3 linked regions of the Sus scrofa genome follow. The protein of the gene in region 2 purifies or fractionates together with the protein of the main gene of each other region. This does not show direct contact. Links are inferred from orthologs where the notes say so. Each region holds a gene or a part of one and is shown on either strand. Other genes may lie near its edges.

What was found.
Region 1: the proteins of CHD8 (region 2) and KPNA5 purify together in Homo sapiens (affinity purification with mass spectrometry; 3 studies listed by BioGRID and IntAct, with this or other methods). This does not show direct contact. The link is inferred for Sus scrofa from reciprocal best matches to the Homo sapiens genes CHD8 and KPNA5.
Region 3: the proteins of CHD8 (region 2) and KPNA6 purify together in Homo sapiens (affinity purification with mass spectrometry; 4 studies listed by BioGRID and IntAct, with this or other methods). This does not show direct contact. The link is inferred for Sus scrofa from reciprocal best matches to the Homo sapiens genes CHD8 and KPNA6.

The regions. Positions count from the first base shown.
Region 1 is NC_010443.5:44,938,548-44,942,299, forward strand, and holds the start of KPNA5 (importin subunit alpha-6), read right to left. Parts: upstream 2,673-3,752; 5' UTR 1,827-2,672; coding exon 1,823-1,826; intron 1,776-1,822; exon of another isoform or gene 1,367-1,775; intron 401-1,366; exon of another isoform or gene 127-400; coding exon of another isoform or gene 123-126; exon of another isoform or gene 94-122; intron 1-93. Other genes in the region: ZUFSP (zinc finger with UFM1-specific peptidase domain protein), read left to right, coding at 2,963-3,521. UniProt on the Homo sapiens protein: Functions in nuclear protein import as an adapter protein for nuclear receptor KPNB1. Binds specifically and directly to substrates containing either a simple or bipartite NLS motif.
Region 2 is NC_010449.5:77,774,845-77,778,496, reverse strand, and holds part of CHD8 (chromodomain-helicase-DNA-binding protein 8), read right to left. Parts: coding exon 3,649-3,652; intron 2,613-3,648; coding exon 2,499-2,612; intron 2,467-2,498; exon of another isoform or gene 2,312-2,466; coding exon 2,132-2,311; coding exon of another isoform or gene 2,079-2,131; intron 1,736-2,078; coding exon 1,619-1,735; intron 1-1,618. Other genes in the region: uncharacterized protein LOC106504487, read left to right, coding at 2,079-2,168. UniProt on the Homo sapiens protein: ATP-dependent chromatin-remodeling factor, it slides nucleosomes along DNA; nucleosome sliding requires ATP. Acts as a transcription repressor by remodeling chromatin structure and recruiting histone H1 to target genes.
Region 3 is NC_010448.4:88,645,567-88,649,218, reverse strand, and holds part of KPNA6 (importin subunit alpha-7), read right to left. Parts: coding exon 3,549-3,652; intron 3,237-3,548; coding exon 3,109-3,236; intron 1,186-3,108; coding exon 1,007-1,185; intron 1-1,006. UniProt on the Homo sapiens protein: Functions in nuclear protein import as an adapter protein for nuclear receptor KPNB1. Binds specifically and directly to substrates containing either a simple or bipartite NLS motif.

The sequences.
Region 1 (3,752 bases), on a different chromosome or scaffold from region 2:
GGAAATTGAGAAAACCCCAGCGTGGGCTGGTCCTGAACCCTATAAGTAAGGCTGTGGCTTCAAGACCCAATAGCTCCCAAAGCCTAAACTCACCCAATCTGGTCTGTGTCACTCCCACTTACTCATTAATGTGGCACTATCCAGCGCCGCAACTTCCCTGTCCTCGGCTTCGGCGTCTGCTGCGATATCAGTGGGTCCACCACTCCGCCCCTAGCGATGAGTATAGAGACCAGGCTCCCAACTCAAGATGGCGGCCACCTGCGCCCCTTACCCGAGACCCCAAGGGTCGTCTCCCAGAAACCCTTGCACGCGGCGGCGGCGGCCGCGGCGGTGGCTGCTGCACAGCCCAGCAGAGGGGCGGAGAGAAGCGCGCCCCAGCCCCACCCACCCAAGGAGGAGCCGGCGCCTGCGCGTGCTCAGCAATTTTAACCCCGCGGAGTTGCTGTGGCAGCAGTGTCCCACTGTCCCAGTCCTCTGTGCCCGCTCTCACTCTTTCATTCATTCATTCGTTCGTTGATTGAATAATTCATTCGTTCATTTTACAATGCAGTATTGATGGAGGGCCTAATCTATGCCAGGCATTGTTTTAGTATTAAAGGTAAAACGGTGTACACAACGGATAGAAGTCCTAAACTCATGGAGATTTGTAGAGCCTCCTCAGCTTCATTTGTTCTACCACTGCGCTCTGCTCATTTGTTTCAAGCTTTTCAGTTAGCCATGTGTTTAAATTTTTGGATTCTATAACATCTGTGGATTTTTTGACAAAAACATAGTCTGTGACATATGTAATGAGTAACTCCAGATAATGTACTCTAAATTATTTTAACACGTAAAGCCTTGTAATACACCCTGGGGTCGAACAAACAGTATTGAAAACAAATTGTTTTCCACGTGTAATGCTAGGCACATCATGTATTAGATATATAACACATGATTCTTTCTCTGAAGAAGCTCCTGTTGACCATCTCTTGCTCTTTTTCTCTCCCACCCCACCTCCCTTTTGTTCTATTTTCTGAGAAATTTTTTTGGATTATTTTACAGATTTCCACTGATTTTTTTTTTTAATTCTGCTATTGTATTTTTTAAATCTCAAGAGCTGTTTCTTATTTTTAAATTCAGGGATCAAGATAGTGTTAGCTTGTAGTCTTGCAGCAAGAACATACCTTAGGCATCCTCCATAGTTTGGAATTTGGCACATAGCATTACAAACTCTTTATTGATAATGTAATAAAACGTTACAGAGTCAGGCCCTAGATAGTGGGTATTGTGGATTCGTGTAATGCCCTAGGACCAGCCCTGGGAATTCATTCACAAAGATCTCAACCTTGCCAGGAAGATGCAAGAATGACTACGACTCCCAGAATGCACTACAACCCCAGATTAGCGTGGAGCGGTGCATCCTGGGAGTACATTCACTCGGGGAAGGAGAGGAAGAGCTTTTTTGAATATTTTTCTGGGAGTTGAAGTTGTTCGGAATCGCTGCTTCTCTTTTCGGCTATCCGTGAGTCTCTGGGTGTAGAGGGCTGCCTCAGTCTTTCAGGCCTGGAGAAGTAATCGACGCCGCGCACGCACCTTTCTGCCCCGGACCCAGACGGCCTCAGCATCAGAACCCGAAAAGGAAGCTAAGCACAGGGCAGGGTGGCTGCCGCCGTCTCTCCGAGCCACCAGGAACTGACCATCCCAGCCCTCGTTCCATAGGCCCACCCTTTGACCCATTTAGTATCTGGGCTGGTTTCAGGCCCTGGCCCGGGAGATTGACACGGATCTTTGAGCAGGTTCGGCTTTGTGGCATTCCGGCCCTTCCCACCTCCTCACCACTTACCCATCCCAGCACCTCTCTCTGGCCTCCGTACATCTCTCGTCCCCTCGTTCTGAGCTAAGTGTTGGGCAATTGAAGCGTGTTCTCTGTCCAGCGGTGCCCCAGCCACAAAAAAGAACCTTTCTGGGTGTGACGTTCTTTCCACTGAGGGTTTGAGAGAATTTCCTTCTAAAGTCGAGACTGTTTTCACTTGTATGAAGTGAAATTAGAAAAATAAGGACAATGTAGGGAGTTCTTACACAGTTAAATTTATTTAAATGATTGGGATAGTTTACTTGTTTTTATTTCCCGTTTGTTTTAAAATAATTTTTAGCTGAAAGATAATGTAGTGGAAAGGTTGTAGCGGGAACTGCTGCCTAAGAATTATTTCTTAGCGAAATCACCTTTTTTGTCGGTAGCCAGTACCTCAAAATGACTGCTGATTTAGTATAACTCATAGGCAGAACCTCAAAGAGATGAGATATCTTACCTAAAATTACGAAAGGTGAGATAATAATCCAGTTCTCTTGGCTCTGGAATCTACTCTGCTCACACTGATTTTATTCTTTGAGTTGAGAATACAGCGGGCCTGACTGGGTTAGCATTTTGGCTAACCATTTTCTGGAGGCAGTGAGGTACCTGAGCCAGGGTTTTCTCCTTGTAGAATGGTAATAATGGTACTTAAATTAGTTTGATATGTGTAAAGCTCTTTACCTTTTAACTGCTGTTATTAAGATTTATTTACTCAATTCCTTGTTTATAGCTTTAAAGTTTTGTATTTAGATATATCATTTGATAAAGTTCCTTCTCTTTCTTTGTTTTCTTATTTGGTTTGTCTTACCCAGGCAGTTTTATAAACGTTATTTTTTCTTTACCTCAGGCCAGACACACCTTTTGAAGTTTTGAAAAATTATCTAATTTGCATCATTATTGCCTTTGTTTTATTAAAACCATAAGCTTGAAACACAAGTTTTACTTGAAATTTTAGATGAAATTTAGATATAAATTCGTGTGTTCAAGGAACAGTAATTTCATCTAAATAACCCAGTTTTCAGTAACCAATATAGTTACTCCAAATCACTTTATAGAATGTATTTTCTTTTTCTTCGTCTCTTAATTTCTAACAAAATAATACTGTATTCTTTTTCAGTTTCCTGCTTTACCATGCTCTCTTGTGATATTTGTGGTGAAACAGTAACCTCAGAACCAGACATGAAGGCTCACCTAATTGTTCATATGGAAGATGATGTTATATGTCCATTTTGCAAATTGTCAGGTGTGAGTTATGATGAAATGTGTTTTCATATTGAAACTGCTCATTTTGAGCAAAATGAGCTAGAAAGAAACATTGAGAGGATTAATTCAGTACAGTACGGAACTTCTGACAACAGGACGGACAGCACCCTGCAGTGTAGAATGGAAGTTAATTCAAGTATTCATTCAGCTTGTGCGTCTAATCATCCGAAAATTTTAGCTCAAAGTCTGCCTAAGGAAGGATCTTTAAAACATAAAGGCTTTCATTCAGAGAATGTAACTGAATCCAGAAAATTTCTGAAAAGTAAGGAAAAACAGTCTGACCTAACCAAAATAAAAGGATCAATTTATGAAACAATGTATAGTCCTCCTGAATGCCCATTCTGTGGAAAAATAGAAGATTGTAGTCAAGATATGGAAACTCATGTGAAAACAAAGCATACCAACCTTTTAGATACTCCATTAGAAGGTAAAGTGTTTGTTTTATGTAATAAGCAGCAGTAGTCTCAACTTAATAGGTGGTGTCCCAAAAGTTGGTTTATACATCAGATGACTGCAAATGTATTTTTAATTTTCAGTTCATAGCATTGTTCATTTGCCTTTATTGGAATATGGAACTATAGTAATGGAAATTTTGATGCAAATTAAAAATGTTTCAGCTATATTGAAAGTAGTTTTAGAATCTTTCTGAGGAGAAATA
Region 2 (3,652 bases):
GTACAATATTGGGTAAACTGGCATTAAATTCAGACGATTAGTACCTGTGTCTCTGGACCTGCCCAATCTAAGCTTGACCTTTCTGACCTGGAAGAAACAAACACCTCAGTACTCTATTTGTATAGGCTTTTAAAATATAACTATAATAGCACCAAATTACTGCAATAATAATGTAGTGCTATATATTCCACCAATTCTGCATTAAGAATTCTATACTATTCATATTATGATTTTCTGTGATTTCCTATGATCTTTTTTTTTTCTTAGAGTTGTGAACGGACTATAAAGAAGTGCAAAAGTATTTGAAGTAAAAATGGGTGATCCTGGAGGAAAAGCCTTCTTTACAGGCTGCTCTATAATGTTAAAATTCAAGACAGAGAGGTCTCAGCCTTCTAGCCATCAGCCTCCCATATCAACCATTCTGCTTATTACACCTTTGGTCCCATGGAATCTCAGAGGGAAAATAAAAACATTCTTCCATGGTGACAATATTTACTATATGAAATCACTCTCACCAATATAAAAATAAATGACCCTTATAAATTTACCTCACAGGTAAATATTTACAATGTGCAAAATAATGTCCTCAGAGTTTGTTAAATCCAAAGGTACATATTTTCACTTGAAAATTAATTTTACTAAAAGATAAACCATTTTATTTTTATTTCTGCATTTTATGGCTGCACCCACAGCATATGGAAGTTCCAGGCTGGGAGTTGAATCAGAGCTGAAGCTGCCGGCCTGTACTACAACCACAGCAATGCCAGATCTGAGCTACGTCTGCAACCTACACCACAGCTCACAGCAATGCCAGATCCTTAACGCACTAAGTGAGGCCAGGGATTGAACCCACATCCTCATGGATACTAGTCAGGTTCATTACCACTGAGCCACAACAGGAAATCCCAAAAGATAAACCACTTTAAATGACTGCTTACCAAATCAAACCATGATTTCTATATGTTTAAAAAATGTAACTCTTGCCAAAAGTAAGGCAAACAGAGCCAAGAGAAACTTTCGCAGTTAATATTTTGATGGAAAGGATTATAAATTCTTAATCCACCAGAAGATCTATAACCATGATAAAAGCATAGCACTGGATTCTTAACCCACTGAGGGAGGCCAGGGATCGAACCTGCTTCCTCATGGATACTAGTTGGGTTTGTTACTGCTAAGCCACAGTGGGAACTCCTTAACCTCTTTAATGCTGGGAAACCCCATGATTATATTCTTTAATAGGCCCCAAATCACTTCTAAAATATTAGAAGCATAAAACTTTTATGAGATTATCTGTTCCAAAACCTTCACTTTTCAGGATATGCAAGCTGAAAAAGAACTTACCCTAAATTGCTTAGTCAGTAAAACAGTAGGATAAGGCCCTGAATGTTCTAACATGTCTTACTAATTACTTTTTAATATGCTTCAAGTGCTAAAGTAATCTTTTAGAATTATATGCTTTTCTAAAGATTATGATGCCACAGGACTGTAAAAATACTGTGGTTTCCCTATTTCTGAACCGAAGATAAATTTTCTCAAACATATATTAGAAAAAAGATTATTAATTTCTCTAGTCATATTTAGTGTTGGAACAGAGTGGTAATATCTCAGTCTCACTCACCTTTTTCCCATTCCTAGAGTTAGCTGTCTGTACTGGTTCCATTCCCAAACAGTTCAATTCTGCCTTATTATTTTTTTTACATCTCTGCCATTTCTGTTTTCTGCGATCCTCCATATACTGGAATAGAAAAGTTAAAGTTATTCTAAAGAAAAAAAAATATTATCTGGAATAATTATTAAGGTACTAGTGTCTAATTATAGTAAATGCTTATTGTGTAAAGGATTAGTCCTAATGGAAAGCTACCATTAAGCTGACCTCTCAAAAGAAAAAAAAAAATTTTTTTAGGTGATTATATAATAGTTTAATAGTAAATATTTGCCTAGCATTTAGTTGAACAATTACTTTAACATTATTTTGATCTTCACAGCTCTGTGAAGTAGGAAGACTAAGTAAAATTACTCTTATTTTGCCGATGCAGAAACAATGACACAATGTGGCATGCTTTCTCTCTCTCACACAGCTTCAGTACCAAGGGAATGACTTTAAATCTTGCTGGATGGAACTGCCACTCACCGCTAGAAATCGGGGATCGACAGCGAACTCTGGATGACCCTGTAACCACATCTCCAGTTCAGCCCGGCGAGGGGCATCCTCACCCACCAGCAAAGTACCATCCACCTTATTGATGACAGGGATCCGGGTCTCCAGGTCCACATCAAGGTGATTAGGCTCTTCCATGCATTCCACCTCCAGCTGCAAACCCAGAATCCACCCCCATGAGCACATACTCTTCTTTTGGGCAGGGAGAGAGGGGGAGCAGAGCCAATGGTAGCCGTAAAACATTACCTTCTGCTCCCTCAATCCCAAATGCCATCATCAATTACTGGGAATAAAAACATTTTCTCTAATCATCATGTTAAAGACTTTCTCTACCACTTACCTCAACTAGCTTCTTTCTGTTCCCTTTCTTCTTATGAAAAAGAGGATGTCCATCTCCCATTACTCCATTAGCCATCAACTTGTGCTTCTGGAATGTTAACTTCAATCCTTCCTCCTAGGAAGACAATCCACCCACCCAAGACATCATATAGCAGTTCAATGACAGTGAGAAGGGAGGGCATCTGACTAATGGATAGAAATCAGAAATATAACAAAATTTATATGTTGTTTCCTTAGAAAAACATTTATTTCATTTCTTGATCTAGTGCCCCTCAGGCAGATTTAAGAGGAGTAGAATTTATTTCAACAACACCCAATGCAGGGGAAAAAAATCCCCTACCTGGTGTCTCAGTATTAGCATGGCAACTCATCACAGGGCAGAATCTTGATATTCCTGTCACATACTAATGTCAAAAATTTTTCTTGGAGTTCCTGTCGTGGCTCAGTGGGTAACAAATCGGACTAGGAACCATGAGGTGACGGGTTTGATCCCTGGCCTTGCTCAGTGGGTTAAGGATCCGGCGTTGCCCTGAGCTGTGGTGTAGGTTGCAGATGCAGCTCAGATCCCATGTTGCTGTGGCTCTGGTGTAGGCCAGCAGCTACAGCTCAGATTAGACCCCTAGCCTGGGAATCTCCACGTGCTGCAGGGGCAGCCATAGAAAAAGACAAAAAAAAAAAAAAAAAAATTTCTTGTTGAGTACTTAATGACCAGCTAATAGAGTTCATTAGGGAAGAACACCAGGAAGAATGACTTTTTTTTTTTTTTTTTTTTGCTTTTTAGAGTCACAGGTGCAGCATATGGCCTTAACAAGGCACATAATACTTGGGTGTCATTTTACTAGCTTTTCTACAATGTGATTTCAATTTTGAAACACTGGTTTCATGGATCTAGAAACAAGCCACTCAAAAGAAACCTATGTCAATTAAATTTCTTTTAAAAATATGGTTTCTTTTAATCTAATCCTCAGAAGATATAAGTCAAGATAAGATCCCTTCCTTTACTACAATGACTTTTCCTAAATGGATCTTTGTGAGCTCTTCTCATTTTTAAGGTTAGGGGACCAAACAAACTTAGTATCACATTCGTAAAACTAGTCAGTAAGAATTCCAGCCTCCTTCCTCACTTTCCAATGTCTAAGCACTCAGCTTACATCT
Region 3 (3,652 bases), on a different chromosome or scaffold from region 2:
TTGGTCAGTGGGTTAAGGATCCACTGTATCCATGAGCTGTGGAGTAGGTTGCAGCCGTGGCTTGGATCCCACGTTGCTGTGGCACATAGGCTTGTGGCTGATTTGACTCCTAGCCTGTGAACTTCCATATGCTGCAGGTGCGGCTCTAAAAAAAAACAAAACAAAACAAAACAAAAAAACAGAGCTAGCATACAATCCAGCAATCCTGCTCCTGGGCATATATCTGAAAAAAAAAAACAACCCAAAAGAAATATGCACCCCAATGTTCACAGCAGCATTATTTACAATAGCCAAGACATGGAAGCAACCTAAACGTTCATCAATAGATGAATGGATAAAGAAGATGTGGTACATACATAAAATAGAATATACTCAGCCATAAAAAAGAATGAAATAATGCCATTTGCAGCAACATGGATGAACCTAGAGATTATTACACTAAGTGAAGACAGAAAAAGACAAAAGATCATATGTGGGATCTAAAAGATAGATACAAATGAAGTCATTCACAAAATAGAAACAGAGTCACAGACATGAGAACAAATTTATGGTTATTAAAGGAGAAAGTGAGGGAGGGATAATTAGAGGAGTTTGGGATTATCAGATACAAACTACTGTATACAAAATAGCTAAACAAAGAAGTCCCACTGTATAGCATAGGGAACCATTATATAATAAACCATAATGGAAAAAAAAAAGGAAAAAAAAGAACTTGCTAGAAACTCAGTTGAAAACATGTCTTCTATCCAGCTCCTGATACTATTATCAATTCTGGAGCTTTATTTTTCCATCTGTACCATAATCTACTTACGGGGCAGAGCCTATCAGCAAGAGAACCGGTCTCCTACTCCTCAGAGGAAAACAGAACTGGTGGGCTAAAACCTCGCATTCAGTGCTGACGCCCTCCCACCCCACACACCCTCCCTCGTGAATGTATATGTCAGAGGCTTAGAGTCCCCAGGTTCTGAGCTAGAGGCAGAGGTGAGGTTGGGGAGAGGGCACATACCATAGGCTTCCTCGATGAGGCCGCAGTAGGGATTGACCCCTGAGCCACTGCGCTTGCCCTCTTGCTCTCCAAGCCGAAGGATGTTCTCCAGGCCATTGAGGGCTACTTGTACAATTTTTGAGTCCATTACAGTCAGCAAGTCACACAGGGGTTTGATGCAGCCCAGGGAGACCAGGTACCTGGGGGGCAGGGACCAGGCAAATTCTAAATTAATACAGGGCCAGGGAGGTGCCAGGCAGGTGCTATGCTATGGGGCCTCTGGGTCTCCTCATGCACATCAATACTTTCCGCAACCCATTCCAACTGAGCCTTCAGAACCATCCACTCTTTATCTCAATCTCTTCACTCTCCCAATGCTACTGGCCTAGTTTATTTCCATGTAGAAAGAAACCTGCCATTAATTCTGCCTCCTAGTCTCCTTGTTGCAACATTACCTACTCTGAACACATCACTTGCCTCAAAATTTTCAGTCAGGAGTTCCTGTTGTGGCTCAGTGGTTAACGAACCTGACTAGTTTCCATGAGGACGTGGGTTTGATCCCCAGCCCCGCTCAGTGTATTAAGGATCTGGCATTACCATGAGCTGTGGTATAGGTCACAGACGTGGCTCAGATCCCACGTTATTGTGGCTCTGGCATAGGCCAGCAGCACAGCTCCCATTTGATCCCTAGCCTGGGATCCTCCATATGCCACAGGTACGGCCCTAAAAAGACAAAAGACAAAAGACAAAAAAAAAATAAAATAAAATAAAAAATAAATTTTTATGACAGAACAATTTGGCTCCTAATGGCCTTTTCTAACTCTGCCTCCCTTTATTCACTTCCAAAAGTACGACATTCCAGTCAAACATGTAAAGGTTTCCAGGTTTCTGATTTTTGTACCTTTACTCATGCTTTTTCCTGTCCAAAAGGCCATCTACAACCCCTCCAAAACTTAACTCAATGGCTATCCCTTTACTTCTGAGATTTTACGTATACTGAATATACTCCTCTTCCAGAACTACAAGCTGAAGGCAATGCATTTCCCATTCCCACCATTGCTCCTCAAGCGGATAATGGAAGTCAAAATCAGAGCATTCGCACACAAAATGGCTTTGTATTTGTTCTCCCAAGTATCACTCCCAAAAGATGATTTTTCAAAGAAGATGCTCTGAATGAACTGTAACATGGACCTCCCTCATTTATATGGATAATTGAGAATTACATATATTTAAATTATCTGGAGGATAGAGGCAGAGAAGAGATGGATGTCTGTGTCATAAGTTTCTATTTATGTGTGTGTGTGTGTCTTTTGTCCTTTTAGGGCCACACCCATGGCATATGGATGTTCCTAGGCTAGGGGTCCAATCGGAGCTACAGCTGCCAGCCTACGCCACAGCTCACAGCAACGCTGGTCCCTGAACCCACTGAGCGAGGCCAGGAATCGATTCTGCGACCTCATGGTTCCTAGTTGGATTCGTTTCTGCTGTGCCACGACCGGAACTCTTCTATTTTTTTTTATAGCCACAGCTGTGGCATATAATCTGAGCCACGGCTGCAGCAACACTGGATCATTAGCCTGCTGAGCCACAGTGGGAACTCTGCATCATAAGTTTCTATTTTCCAGGATGGAAAAGAGGTACATGGTTTACAGGAATCTATTTCAGATTCCAGTGCCGCACTCTAGGAGCTTACCAGTTAAACCCTACTGAGTGGGGGCAGACCTGTCCCAGAAAAGGCAGTTTAGAGGTTATATGTAAACCATGAGCCAAGAGGCAGAGTATGCATATCAAGACAATGGCATGGAGTTCCCGTCGTGGCGCAGTGGTTAACGAATCCGACTAGGAACCATGAGGTTGCGGGTTCGGTCCCTGCCCTTGCTCAGTGGGTTAACGATCCGGCGTTGCCCTGAGCTGTGGTGTAGGTTGCAGACAAGGCTCGGATCCCGCGTTGCTGTGGCTCTGGCGTAGGCCGGTGGCTACAGCTCTGATTCAACCCCTAGCCTGGGAACCTCCATATGCAGCGGGAGCGGCCCAAGAAATAGCAACAACAACAACAACAAAAAGACAAAAGACAAAAAAAAAAAAAAAAAAAAAAAAAAGACAATGGCAAAGGAATAGGATACCTGATTTGCTCAGGGGTTCCTCCTGATGTGGCATTGGTGATGGCCCAGGCTGCCTCTTTCCTTGTACGGAACTCTGCTTTTTGAAGGATTTCAATCAACACGGGAAAGATATTTGCATCTATGACAGCCTGAGAGAGAATTGGGGGGTGGAGGGTGGGGCACAGTGGGAGAAAGTCACTTCAAGAAGAATAAAGCAAACCCAGATCACACATTAGCTAAGATTTAGAAATCTTAACCTTCCTCAAAGTTCTCCTTTGTTCTTCTCATACGGGTAAGAGACTACAGAGGAATGTGAACAGACTCTTTGACCAATGGCATGCACTGACCCCAATTTCTAAAAAGAAACAAATTCGTTCTTCTGGAGGGAAATATCCCACAATATTTCATGTTCCCAGGCCTTTCTACCAGCAGCCCCCCAACTTCCCTCCTGCATGTTCTACCTGTATCTGAGCCCTGTTGCCAGCAGTGATATTTGAAATGGTCCAGCAAGCTTCCTTTCGGATTGACTCCTTGGAGCTGCTCAGCAAATGGAGGAGGCAAGGGA